Sus scrofa: one gene and its partners. The protein of the gene in region 4 purifies or fractionates together with the protein of the main gene of each other region. This does not show direct contact. Links are inferred from orthologs where the notes say so. Each region holds a gene or a part of one and is shown on either strand. Other genes may lie near its edges.

The links. Proteins that work in one complex are often made in the same cells at the same time.
Region 1: the proteins of ADNP (region 4) and ZNF644 purify together in Homo sapiens (affinity purification with mass spectrometry; 3 studies listed by BioGRID and IntAct, with this or other methods). This does not show direct contact. The link is inferred for Sus scrofa from reciprocal best matches to the Homo sapiens genes ADNP and ZNF644.
Region 2: the proteins of ADNP (region 4) and DAXX purify together in Homo sapiens (affinity purification with mass spectrometry; 4 studies listed by BioGRID and IntAct, with this or other methods). This does not show direct contact. The link is inferred for Sus scrofa from reciprocal best matches to the Homo sapiens genes ADNP and DAXX.
Region 3: the proteins of ADNP (region 4) and CBX5 purify together in Homo sapiens (affinity purification with mass spectrometry; 4 studies listed by BioGRID and IntAct, with this or other methods). This does not show direct contact. The link is inferred for Sus scrofa from reciprocal best matches to the Homo sapiens genes ADNP and CBX5.

Annotation. Positions count from the first base shown.
Region 1 is NC_010446.5:125,739,136-125,743,124, forward strand, and holds the start of ZNF644 (zinc finger protein 644), read left to right. Parts: upstream 1-1,189; 5' UTR 1,190-1,282; intron 1,283-1,409; exon of another isoform or gene 1,410-1,579; intron 1,580-1,883; exon of another isoform or gene 1,884-2,655; intron 2,656-3,989.
Region 2 is NC_010449.5:29,678,346-29,682,481, reverse strand, and holds the start of DAXX (death domain-associated protein 6), read left to right. Parts: upstream 1-1,336; 5' UTR 1,337-1,469; intron 1,470-1,540; exon of another isoform or gene 1,541-1,565; intron 1,566-2,001; exon of another isoform or gene 2,002-2,338; 5' UTR 2,339-2,390; coding exon 2,391-2,624; intron 2,625-2,764; coding exon 2,765-3,596; intron 3,597-3,716; coding exon 3,717-3,931; intron 3,932-4,090; coding exon 4,091-4,136. UniProt on the Homo sapiens protein: Transcription corepressor known to repress transcriptional potential of several sumoylated transcription factors. Down-regulates basal and activated transcription.
Region 3 is NC_010447.5:19,481,728-19,485,804, forward strand, and holds the start of CBX5 (chromobox protein homolog 5), read right to left. Parts: upstream 2,801-4,077; 5' UTR 2,646-2,800; intron 2,480-2,645; exon of another isoform or gene 2,316-2,479; intron 1-2,315. Other genes in the region: HNRNPA1 (heterogeneous nuclear ribonucleoprotein A1), read left to right, coding at 3,450-3,464, 4,010-4,077. UniProt on the Homo sapiens protein: Component of heterochromatin that recognizes and binds histone H3 tails methylated at 'Lys-9' (H3K9me), leading to epigenetic repression. In contrast, it is excluded from chromatin when 'Tyr-41' of histone H3 is phosphorylated (H3Y41ph).
Region 4 is NC_010459.5:52,319,485-52,323,445, forward strand, and holds part of ADNP (activity-dependent neuroprotector homeobox protein), read right to left. Parts: intron 2,368-3,961; coding exon 1-2,367.

The DNA.
Region 1 (3,989 bases), on a different chromosome or scaffold from region 4:
AACTTCTCTCTGCCTCATTAGGCTGTAATGAAGTTGAATGTGTCAGAACAATGCCTGGTGCATGGTAAGCACTGGAAACTATTATTTTTAACTAATGCAGCAAGAATAAATACTTGTCATTCGGGAATCTGTTTGCTGATAATGATGAAGTCCCCATCTCATTCTTGACAAATGACTGCAATTACCGTGTATGCCTCGGAATGCCAATCATGTCTTGAAGGTTTCATGATAGCTGCAAAATAACCGAAGACCTTTTTTTGGATAAGAAAACAGAGATTCAGAATAGACAAAGAATTTATTAGGGCAGGATTAGCAGAGTCCTCAGGAACTTTGGGTTCATGTCAAACATGTTAGCAACTTCCTGTTTGCCAGTTTAAAAGCAAAGCCAATAGCGCCTCATCAGTGTTTCTCAAAGTGGTCCACGAAACGCTGGCCTCAGACTCTCCGGTGGATACGTGTTTAAAAAGTTTTCTAGAACTCTCCCAGGCCCTACGAATTCTTTGAGGGATTAACCAGTATCTCAGGTGCTTCTTACATAACTAACTTGGAGATGCACAGCACAGTCAGTAATGCAAGGAGAAAGGATCCTCCCAGAATGGAGCTGGACCAAACCCAGGGCGCCTTTTTTGGAGGGGCTGTCCCGTGACCTGAGATGCTACCCTGGATGCTCCGCTTGTCCATCCAGCATCTCCCAGTAACGGGGCCCTTGAGAGCCAGAAACCCTGCTCTGCCGTCACTCTACGGCTGTGACGGGCGCTCTGGAGGTCCTCAGCTGTTCTCCCCCACAGCAGGGAAAGAGACGGAAGGGTGGCACGCTCGTGGCTGTGGAACTCAGACCCGGGCCTGCTCCACCTTAAAGGGCCTCGGCCTGCCTGAGTGCTTGGGTCTTGCAGAGTTTGGGCACCACCATATTTGGAGCGTGCCTACTTTGGGGCGGGGACCTCCTTGAGAGCGATGAGGTCAGCGCAGGGGGAGGTGACCTTGTTGGGCTCCTGGCACCCGAGAACAGTGGTGCACTGTTGCCGCCGCCCCCGTCGGTGCCCGCGGCCCAGGCGCCGCGGCCGCGCGAAGCCGCCCGCGAGCTCGTCGCCGGCCGTCCCCGGGCCCGCGGCTCGGGGCGAGGCGGGAAAGCGGCGCGCGTGCGCCGTGGGCCCCGGGCCGGCGGCAGAAGCGGGGCGCGCAGGGGGGCCGTCGGAGCCGCCGAGCGTACAGAGCGGCGCGTGACGCGGGGACGCCGCGCGCTCCCAACGTCGCCCCGGTTTGACGCACACGGCACCAAACTGTGAGTTTCGGGGCTCCTTCGGTCGGGCTCGCCGGGCCCCGCGTGGGCTCCGGGCGCGCGGGCCGCGGCGGCGGCGGGCCTGGGGGGCGGCAGGACGCGGGGGCGCCGGGCCGCGGCGCGCGGGCCCGGGCAGCGCCGCCCCGGGCCGGTCCCCAGCCTCCGCAGGACGCGTCTTGCCGCACAGGCTAAGATGGCGGCGGCGGCCGAGGAGGCGGAGTTGGTGCCGCACAAGGAGCCCGGGCCCCGGGTTCGGGGAGGCGGCGGCCGCGGCGGCCGCGGGGGGCGGCGGAGCCCGAGGTGAGCGGCGGCCGCCGCCGCGGGGCGGGCCTCGCCGGGGCCGGGGGGCGGGGGAGGCTCCTCGGCGGCGGCGGCGGCGGCGGACCTGGGAGCGGACACAAAGGGGCTGAGCCGGGCACGGGGCTCGGGGGTTTTGTTTAGTCACATGCAGCCGAGCAGCCAGTGAGCGGCGGGGGGAAGGGGCCGAGGCCGGGCGGCCCGGGGCGCCGGGCGGGCGCCATTGCGATGTCCGAGCCGCGGGGCGGCCCGGCGCTGGCCGGCGGCGCAGGCTCCGGCGAGGAGGGTCCACACCCCGCCCCTACCGGGGGCTCGGGGCCGCGGGGCGCTCCCGCCCCCTGCCCCGCGAGCTCCTCAGCCGCCCGGTGCCCGGGCAGTAGGCGCAAGAGGTAAATCGCTCGAAGCGTTTGGGTGGCCAGGGGCTCGGTGGGTGTCCAGCTAAAGCTTTTTGCTTCTCCAGGTCTGATTCCCTGGCCTTTGGGTCCCTGGGAGCTTAATCTCTGCCAGAGGAAAGCAGGTGTGCTCCACTTCTCCCGTGAACCTGAAGATGAGTTGCCCCAGACCCTTCTCAGTGATTGGAAACTTAGGTGGTGGAGCTAACGGTTTCTTGTTACGAGACTTCCACAGACGACTCTCGTGGTGGGATCCATCCATGGTTTAGCGACATTAGTGGAAAACTTTTTTTTTGGAACTGTTTTAAGTATCGTTGATGCACGCTTAGTTGTTATCAAACTTGTAAATTCAGATTTTCGTGTGGTCATTTAAGAAGTCCTCAACGAGAAGGTCAACGCAGTTGGCGGGCCTGAATGATGGGCCTGTGCTGTATACACGTTAATAATTTCAACAGAAATAACCCAAACACCGTCATCGATCCGGGCCAGTCCTAACTAATGCCAGGCTCGTTGCATCCGGATGATAGATTAGATTTGTGCTAATGGTTTTATTGCTTCTCCGCAGTAGTGTAGTTACAATTTTTTTTTTTTTTTTTTTTGGTCCCACAAGAAAAAGAGTTTTTCCAAAAATAGACAACTCAAATTACTCAAAGAAAGGAAACCTGCTGTTTGCCTTCAGTGCCATGTGTAAGTATCCAGGGAACATGAGGGCAGCCATATTGCATGGATAGGTTTGGTAACAAACAATTAGTTTATATAAAGAAGTTGCAACTTAGACTTTTTAATAGGTGAAACATGAAGACTTGACCACTGTTACTTCAGTGGTATACATATATATATATATATATATTTTGCTGGTAAAATCATGGTAGTGTAAGTTTTAGAATTTCTAACAAAGTTACACTGCGCTCACATCTACATCATACTTTGTATATTTGTAATATTAGAAGTATAAGAATTGCAAACAACTATCGTTTTGTTTTGGCCAGGTCACAGTAACAAGTTAAATTATTTGCTTGAAGGAATATTAACTCCTTTTTTTTTTTTTTGGCCACACCCATGGTATGTGGAAATGCCCCGGCCAGGAATCGAACCTGTGCCACTGCTGCAGCAGCGAGGAATCCTTAAGCTGCTGCATCTCAGGGGAACTTCCAAGGAAGGGATGTTTAAACACATCAGTGTTACTAACTTTAGATCTGGGTTCCAATTGAAATTTGAACTTTTCTGCATTCCTTAAAACTTTGGTTTTCCTTGTTTCCCCCCGCCAGATTTATGTTCCCCCACCTTTCCGCTTTTCTCCTAAGAGAACAATCTTGTATCAACAAATAGATGATATATTAATATCAGCAAAATTATTATTGAATCATTTAGCTTTAGCGTAGAGGGACTCTTAGAGAACAGCTAGTCGTGTCTTCTCTTTTACAATATATTTAGGGCCAGGAATGATTAATGTTATAGTGGAAAATTGTCTCTCAACTTACACCCCAGTGGTCTTTTCATTGGTCACATTGCTGGGATAAGGAGGTGACCACCTGCAACTGGTTATAAAACAAAAACAAAGGCATGTGTTTGAGAATACTTGTTAATTCGATACTGTTACATTAATGGTAAATTCTGTGAAAACAATTAAAAACTTACATTTACCTTGATATGGTGACTTAGTTTTTAAAGTGATTTCCGGGGAAACAAATGCAGATACAAAATGCAGACATTTCAGGTAATTTCAAAGCGATGTTGCTTTTGAATTTTGAGGTTTTCAGAAAACAATCTTGACGCAGTAATTTGAAAAAACAGGTAGTTTGATAAGCTTCTTGGCATGTTTGAGGTAATTGCCATTACTTCCAATTATTACGTAAGAAATGAGATAGATGCTGAAAAGAATGATGCTAGCGCCTTTCATTTTGTAATAGCATTTTAGTTGGTTAATGGACATGCCTCTTTGCCCCCTGTTCAAGGCGGCTCATTAGGACTGACTAGTACTGTTGCTGAGGGTAGATCTGTAAGGTCTAGTAGGAAATTCA
Region 2 (4,136 bases), on a different chromosome or scaffold from region 4:
ACCGCTCACGGCAACGCCGGATCCTTAACCCACTGAGCGGGGCCAGGGATTGAACCTCATGGGGACTAGTGGGGTCTGTTAACCACTGAGCCACTACGGAAACTCTTCTGCTATATTTTAATAAAATTTATCTTTAAATGTGCAACAAGAAAATAAAGTGGCAAGATGCCCAACATTTGTGGAGTATGCAGGGATCCAAGAGGTGGGAAACTCAGCGACTGGACCGGTGTTAACTTTTTGGTTTCCCCAGAAGTTCACCTTTGGACCCAGCTTTGCTTCCGTGAGTCCCTCCAGCTTCCCTAAAGCTGGGCTAGGTGGGGGTCCAGGCGAGGCGGGCGTCAAAGTTGGTTTCTTCTCTTTTTGTTCTTTCATCAGCACTTCCAGAAGAAAAGACGAGACTCCGAGGCCTTTTACGAGCCTCATTTCGTCTCACAGTCCATACAGCGGCAATCTGCAGATTCTCCTCAGAGCCTCCTCCTCCTCACAACGCCCGTCCTCAGGCCCTGGAGCTTCTGGACAAAGCCCGGCCTCCCGGCCATCATCGCCTCCGCCTCGGGGACCTCCTCCAGAAAAGACGTCGTAGAACCACCTAGATTCTACCTACTTGGTTGGCCAATAGTTCTGTAGTGGAAAGCAAACCAGCAACAATAACAATAATAATAAAACACATTTGTACAGCTCGTGGTGCTCATTTGTATCCCGTGTTAGGACTTCGCAATTGGGCGAAGTAGGCACCTGTCGGTAGAAGTAGCAGCTGGACAGCGAAAAGGAGAGCGGGCCCATAGAAGGGAATGGCAGGTACAGTCGATTAAGCCAGGGAAACTGGTACCTGGCAGGTAGGAAATCGGCGCCAGAGGGCTTGTCAATAGCGCCGCGGATGGAAAAGGTTTTATTTTCCTCTCAAGAGGCTCCCCCCATTCCGTGCATCCCTGTGCAGCCTCGGAGGGCTCAATTCCTTTGCTGCTCTGTTCCGTACCCCCCCCCCCCCCCTTGGGAAGGTGGCTCTGTCCTCCCCGCACGCGACGCGCTGGCGGTTGGCCGGCTGCGGGAAGCTTCTGATTGGCCGAGTCGCAGAAGCACCGGGTGAAAAGAGCTTCACTGGCGGCGCGCCCCCACTCGGGGCGTAGCCAACGCCGTACGGGAAAATGGCGGCCCGCATGTACCTTGAGAGGCCCCGAATGGGGGATGGAGGGGCGCAAATCCGCCCCCTGCAGGTCAGGGAGAAAGGCGCCTCAGACTATGTGGGCGGCACTGGAGGTGCTCGAGGAGGCGGGCCTACTGTCACTTCCGGCCACTGGGGAGACTGGGATCCGTACGGCAACATGGCCGCACCCAGGAGCCTGTAGGCGGAAACTCCGCCGCTTCCGGTCCGGAGTAGGGCCTGCGGTGGGAGGGGGAAGGAAGGCGGAGGGAACCATGCGAGGTTCTGAGATCCGCGGCGAGTGTCGCCTCGAGAGACCGTTTCTGAGGTGGGGCCGGGCGGTGCGGGGGGCGAAGGCGGGGCGGGAATGTCGAGGTCGAGGTACTCGGGAGTCCTGGGCGTTGAGTCTGAGGGGCAGGCTGAGGTACCTTCCTTACTATCCCTGAAGGGGTGTGGGGGGGCCGGGGGCTGAACTGGGGGAGGGGGACTTGGCGGGAAGCTCCTCCGGGGGCAGGGCCGGCCTCAGGACTAGAGTGTGAGAGCAAGCAGGAGAGACCAGTGTGGGGCCCACGGTCGCTTACAGGTCACACGGAGAGAATGGGGAGGCTCGGGTTGGTGTGAGAGAGAGGGGACTGGAGCCGAGCTATCTCCGACTGCCGCCCCGGCTGGAGGAGACCCACCGGAGGGCGGGGTAGGGAGGTGGTCTTGGCAGGAGAAAGGGGAGTGGATGTGGGGAGGACCAACCCTCGCCTCGGAGAGGCTGGGAGTTGGGGTGATCCTACAGGACGGGGCGAACCTGTGGGAGAGCGGAAGGGGGACACGGGGAGGTGGTGCCAACGAGGGTGTGGTATCTGTTCCAGGGGGTGTCGAGGAAATCTGGAGTGCAGTGTGAGAGGTGGTCCGGGGTTGAGAAGAATCAACTTGCCACCTATGAGAAATAGTGGGGAAATGCAACCGAAAGACCGGATGTCGACGTGAGGGGTGGAGCTGGGGGTGGGACTTCAGGTTTTCCGAGGGTTTGGGGCTCTCGTAGTAAAGGGACAGAAAAACACGGTACTAATGGTTGCTGAAGACAGGCAGTGAGGACACTGTTGGGCATGGCTGGGTGTTTTTGAAAACCAAGAAGACAAAAATGTGTGAGATGAAGGGATGGGGCTCTGCTGGAGGGGCTCTTTCTGAGGCCCCGTCCCCTTCCAGCAGGAATCACGAAAACCCCACCACTTCCTCCCTCCGGGGGATTTGATCCCCCATGGCCACCGCTAACAGCATCATCGTGCTGGATGATGATGACGAAGATGAAGCAGCTGCTCAGCCAGGGCCCTCCCACCCACCCCCCAACCCAGCCTCACCCAGGGCAGCCCCCATTCCAGCCTCACCCAGGGCAGAAGCCCCTGGCTCCTCCCAGCCCCATGGGGCTGGAGGAGGCAGTAGTTCGGGCGGCAAGAAATGCTACAAGTTGGAGAATGAGAAGCTGTTTAAAGAGGTGAGCTTTAGGGGAGAGGATTCTTGTACTCCAGGGAGGGGGCTGGCCGACTGGCTCTCTTGTCTTGTCTTCCCCACTAACCCCACCTCGCCTTCTTTCTCTCAACCCATCCCTTGTCCCTTTCCCCGTGAACCTTCCAGTTCCTTGAACTGTGTAGGAGGCAGACAGCAGACCACCCTGAGGTGGTCCCGTTCCTCTCTAGCCGGCAGCAGCGGGCCCACTCACTGTTTTTGGCCTCGGCGGAGTTCCACAACATCCTCTCTCGGGTCCTTTCCCGGGCTCAGAGCCGGCCCGCCAAGCTCTATGTCTACATTAACGAGCTCTGCACTGTTCTCAAGGCCAACTCGGCCAAGAAGAAGATGAACCTGGCCCCTGCTGCCACCACCTCTAGTGAGCCCTCCGGGAATGACCCCCCCACAGGCCCCTCCTCGGACCCCATAAATGCTGAGACCACTGCCTCTGAGGCCCCAAGGACCCGTGGTTCCCGGCGGCAGATCCAGCGCTTGGAGCAGCTTCTTGCGCTCTATGTGGCAGAGATCCGGCGGCTGCAGGAAAAGGAGCTGGATCTCTCAGAACTGGACGACCCGGACTCCACTTACCTGCAGGAGGCCAGACTGAAGCGTAAGCTGATCCGCCTCTTTGGGCGGCTGTGTGAGCTCAAAGAATGCTCTTCTCTGACGGGCCGGGTCATAGAGCAGCGCATCCCCTACCGGGGCACCCGCTACCCGGAGGTGAACAGGCGCATCGAGCGGCTCATCAACAAGCCAGGGCCTGATACCTTCCCTGACTATGGAGACGTACTTCGGGCTGTCGAGAAGGCAGCTGCTCGGCACAGCCTTGGCCTCCCCCGACAGCAGCTCCAGCTCATGGCTCAGGATGCCTTCCGAGATGTGGGCATCAGGTTGCAGGAACGTCGCCACCTCGATCTCATCTACAACTTCGGCTGTCACCTCACAGACGACTACAGGCCAGGTAGGCCTTAGCAGGGTCTCCCCAGTCCCTTGGTGTGTTGGCCTATGCTGGAGGAAGCTCTCTGGAGTCCCTCCTTCTAGGATTCTGGGTGAGTGCTCTGACCTATGTCTTCCCATGCAGGTGTCGATCCTGCCCTGTCAGATCCTGTCCTAGCCCGGCGCCTGCGGGAGAACCGGAGCTTGGCTATGAGCCGACTGGATGAGGTCATCTCCAAATATGCAATGATGCAAGACAAGAGTGAGGAGGGCGAGAGACAGAAGAGAAGGGCTCGGCTCCCCCAGGCCACCTCTGCCCACTCTGCAGAACCCCCCAAAGCCTCCTTGGATTCTGGCGAGGTATGGAAGGGCCACACCCTTGAGAGAGACCCTGTCCTTCCCCTGCACTGGCCAGGAGGGAGTCCTTGGGACTGATGGCGGAGTGTGCAGAAGGGATGCAAGAACCAGTCCCTCAAGGGGGCAAGGGATTCCTTAGAGAAACTCCTTTGTCCCCCGAAGGGCCCTAGTGGGATGGCCTCCCAGGAGTGCTCGACCACTTCCAAGG
Region 3 (4,077 bases), on a different chromosome or scaffold from region 4:
ACATAAGATGCAATCAATGTTTAAACTGCAAGAAATGGTAAAAATCTTAATGAAAGTTTTCTTTTACCCAATGAAACAATGATCATGCTCTATCTGAACAGATAATCATAAGGACTCAGTGATCCACTTTACCAAGGACACTTCCTAAACATTCATCTTCTCCCTCTGATTTCCAATTGGCAAAAAACAAAATATTTTGACAAGATAATCAACTCTACGATGTCTCATTTTTTATTTTCATTTATTTATTTACTTGTGGTCTTTTGTCCTTTTTTTAGGGCTGCACCCATGGCATATGGAAGTTCCCAGACTAGGGGACGAATCAGAGCTACAGCCTCTGGCCCATGCCAAAGCCACAGCAACATGGGACTCAGGCAGAATCTTCAACCTACACCACAGTTCACTGCAACACTGGATCCCTAACCCACTGCTCGAAGCCAGGGATCGAACCTGCATCCTCATGGATCCTAGTTGGGCCCGTTAACCACTGATCCGTGAAAGGAACTCCCAGATAAATGGTTTCCAAGTGGAGATTTTGCACCCCTCCCTCCCAGGACAATTGGGAAAACTTTGATTGTCACAAGTGGGGGTATGGGGAGGTGAAATGCACTTACTAGGCTCAAAATGTAAATAGCACTGAAGCTGAGAAACCCTACAGATCAAGATTGTATTCCTTTCAAATTTAAATAAATTAGGGACAGAAATTCTTAATCTATATCACTTCAGTTCTTATAAACCAAGTAGCTACACTATTAGCATACCTATAGTTTATACGCAAATATGAAACAGATTTTCCATTTCAAGTATCAGAAAACATGAAAATCTGTTCAGGATAAGCTCAGCTAAAAATCATCCTTTTGCACAGTGTTACAAAGATCTCTAATCATAACAGAACTTCTTCATGTGTATTTGAACTTACTACAGTATTTAAACAACTGTCCCTTGATACTAAATAAGGCAGTTAATAACAGAGGAGTATAGGAATTCTCTTATGAGGCAGTAGGTTAAGGATCCAGAATCACCACTGCAGCAGCCTGGATCACTGCTGTGGTGCACGTTAGATCCCCAGCCCAGGAACTTCCTTATGCCACAGGTGCGGCCAAAAAAGGGGGAGGGGCAGTATAGACTCTCATACAGTCAAAACGTAATGAAAATTTCTATGGTTTACTAAAACATAGTGGAATGAGTAGAACAAGCATTACTAACAGGATATGGACTGCACAGGAAATACTTTGAAATTCTATAATCAAAAGGCAAAAAATAACCCAGGTGATGGATGGGTTCCGTCTCCAGCACCCTAAGTATCACCCTCCTTAAGCAACTTCCTTTTTATCCAAATCCAGATATCCTTAAAGGAACAGCAGAAAGAAGGCCTAAGAAGATCTGTAACAATGTAAAGAGATATATATATATGGAGGAGAAAGTTCCTCAGAGCAGAGCCTAAGATAAAGGAATTGGACAATGCTTGTAAAGCACTTAACATCATGACTATCAGTACTCAAAAAAAAAAATTATCTTTTTAAAATTTGTTTGTTTAAACCAAGAATCGCTTTAGTTCTTAACTGAAAAACAGCACCTTTTTGAGGTGTAAGGAGGTGGTGAGAAGTACTTGACTATAACTGAAAACACAAAAACAACGAGCTTTTAAATTTATTTTTAATTACAAATTATTATCCCTGCAAAAATGTAAACACTGGAGATGCGATGTGTCTCCAACCCACTGTATCCCTAGAGGTTAACATATTTTGCTATGCAGTTTTCCGAAACATTTCCTATGGGTTCACAAATATTTCTTTGTCTGTGGAAATATGCATTACTGTTATTTTGTAGACTCTTCTTGGGTGCTATTCCACAACAGTACAAATAAATTCTATTTGTTCTAACATTTCAAGGCAGTCTTCCTAAAGAAGCGAGTTTTCCAGTCATGTCTTTGACATCCCTTGTTCCCCTCCAAAACCTAAAGTGCTGGATGGTGAGATATACCGTTGTGGGGGGGAAAGAGCCAAAACCGAGGAATACAGGACCAAACTTAACAGCTTTCCTACCAGAGAAGTGTGGCACGGAGGCCCACAGGTTTTGTTAAAGTCATTGTGAATAAAATAGCCCCTACGCGCCATCACAGGCATTGAATCCCCTTCCTCGCATCCCCAAATCTAAGACCTCCCTCTTTTGGAGCGCTGATTGGACGAACAGCCTGAGCGCTTTCCAGAGGCTGCTCGCCTACTGGCTCCCGATTTGGTCCATCCACCTAACCGCCCAACTCCCGCATCCCCCATTGGAGTCAAATCGTGGCCTCTTGGAGGAGCCCAACCTACCGCGCGCTTCGTGCTCATTGGCTCAGTGAGATGCTGCTCAGGAGGAGAAAGCCCGCCTCCCACATACCGATGGCCCAAGGACCGATGAGTCGGCAGCTAAGGACAGCCCCAATTGGCCTATACACTCGCCAGTCAAACTCTTCCGCTGCAAAGCTCCACAGAACCTACGGGGATAAAACATCCCGCCCCCGTTCTTCCATTGGTTGGCCGATCTCACCGCTCCCCCTTCACGAGCCCCCACCCCGAGGTCCATTCATTTCACACAATAACGGGCCCAGTTGGAGTCAGTTCAAGACCTCGTATGGGTAGGCAAGATGGTCCGCCACTTACCGGGGGTCGAGACCGATCACTCACGCTAACGCCTCGCCTGTTCCTCTGTGGTGCGGCCGGACCACAAGCCACCGCCGCCGCCGCCTTCTGCGCAACGCCAACCGCCCGCCAAAACGGATCCTTCCCTGCGCCTGCGCGACCAATCCTGGGACCCGACCCTTTCCCCGCCCATTACGCCTGCGCAAAAGGGGGCACAACTCCCGCCACTACGCAGGCGCCTTAGGTTCGCCGCTGTCTCCTGCCCGCCATTTCACGTGTTGCAAGCTCCGGGCGGAACTTCTTAGCGCGCCTGCGTAAACTCGCCATTTTACTACACATGCGCTCAGCAGGCGATCTTGCCCCCGCCCCCGTTCCGCCAAATTGTCACATGCTAGCTACTTTTTTGATACATAGTATTAAAAATGCTTTGACACAGGCGTTGAATATTCCGGACATAGCTAATTAAAAAGTTATCTCAATACCCGAAATAATTCAAATATGAATCATTGGTTGACCAGCCAATCAGTCTAGTTAAGAATAATATTACTTAGGAACCAATGGACCGGGAGGGGTTGAGACTGCGTAGAACGCCCAAACGGATGACGTTACACAGCAACGCATACGAGAGACCAATAGTGGGGGAAAGCTATGTCAAATATCCAATCAGAGCTACTCAGGGGCGGAGTCTACCAATGCCGAACGCGAGGAGGCGGGATAAAAAAGCGAGGCCGAAGGTAGGCTGGCAGACTCGTTCGTTAGATTACTCCTTTCTGCCCCCGGACGCCGCCGAGTAAGCATCGTTGTAACCTCCTCCCCACTACCGTCATGTCTAAGTCAGAGGTGAGTGAGACTCTTTTTTCATCTGCGTTTTCTTCTTCGCCGCTTGCTGAGTTTGGTAGGGTGCAGTCTGGTTTGGCTGCTTGCACCAGCCTTTTCGGCAGTTCTTCGGTCGCTGCCGGGGCCTACCCCTCCCTGAGTTCAGGTCGCCATTTTGTCCTCGTCGCCATGAGGCTGTCGTCGTGCAATCCTTGGTTATCACGCTGCTCTCGTTCTTTTTTGCAATGCTCGTGGACACATTCGGTCTGTTTTTCATCCTTGTCCTAGTGGACGACTTTCTTAAAGAGTAGCTGTAGTCCAATTTTGGCGATGCACGCCCTCCCAGTCCTTTTGTTGCGCGTGCGTCGTAGGGAGAGTAAGGGGCGCATGCGCTCGCCGCTTCCCAGCCCCCAACATACCGCCTCCCCAGATGGGGAGAAGCACGTGGCTTACAGCGACCCGAGGGAACAATAAAAGCTTCGTACGTTGCTACCTGGTGTTGCTTCTTGTAGCGGGGAGCTTGTTTGCGTTATAGCCCTATTTAACGCTTTTTTTGCCCCTACTTCTAGTCTCCCAAAGAGCCCGAACAGCTGCGGAAGCTCTTCATCGGAGGTTTGAGCTTTGAAACAACCGATGA
Region 4 (3,961 bases):
GACTCTGGAATCCTTTTCATCATGATTTTCAAATAGCCACTCAGCATCAAAATCCATCTCATGCTTAACTTTGTTTAATTCTTTCATGTTGAAGCCCAGCAGCACACCAGGCTTATACTTCTCACAGTCTCGGACACACTTCTTTCTCTTGTTACTAAAATGGGAAGCAATGTCACTCTTCCACAACCACAAACTGGCTGCCAGCTTCTCAATTTCTCTCCTGGTGGGATAGGGCTGTTTGTTGAAATATTTTGTTAGGAAGCTTTTCCTGGCTTCATAGGAATCATCTTCATGACCCTTGGGGTCTAAAGCTAAAACAACAGGTTCCTCAGGCTTCTCCTCAAAGAAGCTGGGTGAATCGCTATCATCATCTAATTTTCGCTTTTTTACCAAGGGAAATTCCATCTGCTCATAAGTGCGCTTCACAGGTGCCAGGCCTGGTGACTGGTTGAGCCGAGAGGGTGCATTTGTCTTGTCTTGGCCATTCTGGGTCTTTCCAACACCCCTGCAGTGGACTAGATGCAGAGTGATAGTCGAGGCGGTCATGTTGCTGGTATACACACCAAGGCAGTGGATGCATTTGTAGGTGAGCTTCTTCTCCACCGGGTGAACGGTCTGAATCACTTGGTGTCTTTCTCGTAAGTGATGTGCAAGTGCATCGGATATGGGTCCTTTGAGGATTGAAAAGCAAAGAGGGCAAAGGGTTTTCCCGACATCTTTTTTATAGGGCACTGCAGCTTGAGGTGAACTTTTAACAGGGATATCTGCCTTTTCCTGAACTTTTGGCTGTGGCTTTGGAGGGACTGGAGGGTTGTTTTGGGCATGGTAAGCAACAGACTCGGCGGGGGCATCTCTCAGGTTGTATGTGGTTACCAGGAGATGGATGTTAGTGTGACTACCCTGCTGCAATGTCAAATCAAAACTCAGCGTGGAATCTGTTTTGGGTCCCATCTCTTCGTCAATGTGAACCATCCGCATGTGTGCCGCCATCTTTTCCACGTCATTGAAAGTTGAACGGCAATATGGACAAGACAGACCATGAATTAACATATGGTTGAGCAGAGTATCTGTGGGCAAATAGCGATTGCAATAGAGGCATTTGCTAGTGAAATTGTGTATTTTCATAATGTAGTTGGCTACTGCTGGGACTTTCTCAGCTTTATGTTCTTTCTCGAAGTGCACACTATAGACATTCTCAGGAAAAAGCTCATTGCAGATTGTACATATCTTCCACTTCTGAGTTGAGGACGTATTGGGCGGGGGAGGGCCAGTGGCAGCTGCGGTAGGTTTGGAACTGGACTGACCTAATACTCTGGATGCCTGTGACTGGGCGAGGGCAGGAGACTTTAAGGGGCCTGATGAGAGAGAAGAGGCGTTTGCAGACTGCAGTGAGTATCTTGCTGGTGCCTGGGTCCTCTGCTCTGACCCAAGCCCATAAGATCTTCCATTTCCACTTGGAAGTAACTGCTTCACTGACTGAGACTGCTGAGGGATGGAAACGGGTGCATTGCCACCCAGACCCAGTCTCATTGACTGACCAACGCCATAGCCCTGGCCCACTGATTTGACTCCATAGTTGTTCTGCTGGAGATGAACATTGGACATCATGTTGACTCCTGTGGAATTTAAGTTAGGCTTTGGTATTGAGAGTCTATTCACCATCTGCTGGGATGGCAAAGATCGGACGTTTCCAGAAGCGAGGGAACCAATTCTTGATTGGAGTCCCAGGCCCTTCTTCTCTTGAGGTTTGGGAGCAATCAGCATCAAAGGTTTGGATCGGGGGACCACCACATTTGTGTGCCCAATCATGGCAGTGACCTGATAGCCTATGCGTTCATGGTCTTCAATGACATGCTGTACCAAAGCTTCGTAGGACTTTGGCATGAAAAGGCATCGCTTGCAGTGAATACTACTTTCTTCCCGGGCGTTTGAGCCTAAGGGGACTGCACCATTGAGTGATTTTTCACCTGCCTTTGCTATGTAAGGTGCTGCCACATGCTGAAAATGTTCCCTGTAAATGTGCTTCCTAACTATTTCATAAAGAGGATCTCGGTAAGTGCACTTCTTACAGTAATAAACAGCTTGCTCTACACTGTCAGCCTGCTTAGGTTTAAGGCCATCGTTTTTGCTTTTATCTTTGAAAGTGCTGAGGCTGCTACTTGGTGCGCTGGCGTTTGGAGCATGAAATATTTTAATGTGTGTTTCCAAAGTCTTTTTGTCTGCATTGAAGGTACAGTAGGGGCAATTAAGGAGAATCCTATTTTCAAAGTCTTCACTATGGACATTCCGGAAATGACTTTTGTAGGCAGAGAAAAATTTTGAAGAAAATGGGCAAGCGCTGCAGCAAAAAGGTTTTGTCCGATAGTCCTAAAGAAAAGAGAAAAAGTGGAAGGAGAATGTTACTTCAGATAGGTAATAACAGGTTCTAGGCTCCCCCCCGAAGAATCTTTTCTTTTTAAGAGACACCATGCTGGTTTTAGAACTGAAACTCTGTAATGCACAGATTAGAATATAGTTTTTTTTTTCCTTTTGCAAAATGCAAAATGAATTTATGGAATATAAACTCAAAAGAGGAAGCTGTTTTAAACTAAACACTTGCTTTGGCATCCCCATTGTAGAAATAGAAACTCCATTCTAAGTTCTTCCTCAGTGTTTTAAGAAAAGACCAGAGTCACATTGTTTTTTGGTTTTAGACAAACTCAAGACCCAGGGCTTCAAGATGGACAATTCATGGTTATGAAGGACAAGAATAAGCTAGGTGCAATCACTTTCACTCTGCAAATCGTTAAGCTGCTGAAGGCTTCAGATTGACTGTATAGTAAAATTTAAGGCCCAGAGTGTTGGAGTGCAATTAGGCAATAGGATACACACCTTTGATCCTCCCCATTACGGAAAAATTTCCATAGAAAAAAAGGCACTTCTTCGAAAATCTCAAAACTTTTTTCCCCTCTGATCGAAGAAGACTGTAGTCAGATTTCACTGTAGATCAAAACACTGATTTGAGAAGTCAGCTTTCTTCTATAAGCTAATAAGCTCTTCCTTTTCAAGAGCAGCTTCAAAAGAAGTAATGAAGTGATAGCTGCTTTGATTCAAATTAATAAGTTAAATACAAATTTCCTACAGACTGTGAGGAGTGCAAGGTGTTAAAAAACTAGCGAGGTATCAAAGAGCAACTTACACAACTACACTCATTAACATTTGTGCACTTGGTCCTCTGAAGCACAAGTTTGGTAAAAGGTTATCATTTTTCCCCTAGAAACCTACTTTGTTTCAGATATTGAGTTGAAACACTCTGCTTTTCCTTAAAGTGTGACCCTTCTTGAGTATTTATAAAACAATTAACTAAATGATGTGTCCCACTGGAAAGCTTTCCATATTTTAAGACTGCTAGTTAATACCCTTCCCTGGGGTATTGATAAGAAAGAACCAGATGACCACATAATCAAATTTCTGCGGTGTAGTTTAATCTAGAATGACAATCACTACTGAAATAGATGATGGTACAGTTTGAACTGATAATCACTCTTTGTGGAAAAAGACACCTCACTTATTTTTGTTGTATCACCACTTTCTGATGTTTGTTGGCATATTGTGCCTTGGATCATCTACTATTGTTTTTAATTCCACTCTGCCATCCTAGAGAGCCACCTATCCCATCCTTCACTTGCTGGTTCAGGTCACTCTATAGAGGCTAGGTGACAGCACAGATCAATAAGAAAAGTTAAACGAAAAAAAAAAAAAAAAAAAAAAAAAAAAAAGGGAGTTCCCGTCGTGGCGCAGTGGTTAACGAATCCGACTAGGAACCATGAGGTTGCGGGTTCGGTCCCTGCCCTTGCTCAGTGGGTTAATGATCCGGCGTTGCCGTGAGCTGGGGTGTAGGTCACAGACGCGGCTCGGGATCCCACGATGCTGTGGCTCTGGCGTAGGCCGGTGGCTACAGCTCTGATTTGACCCCTAGCCT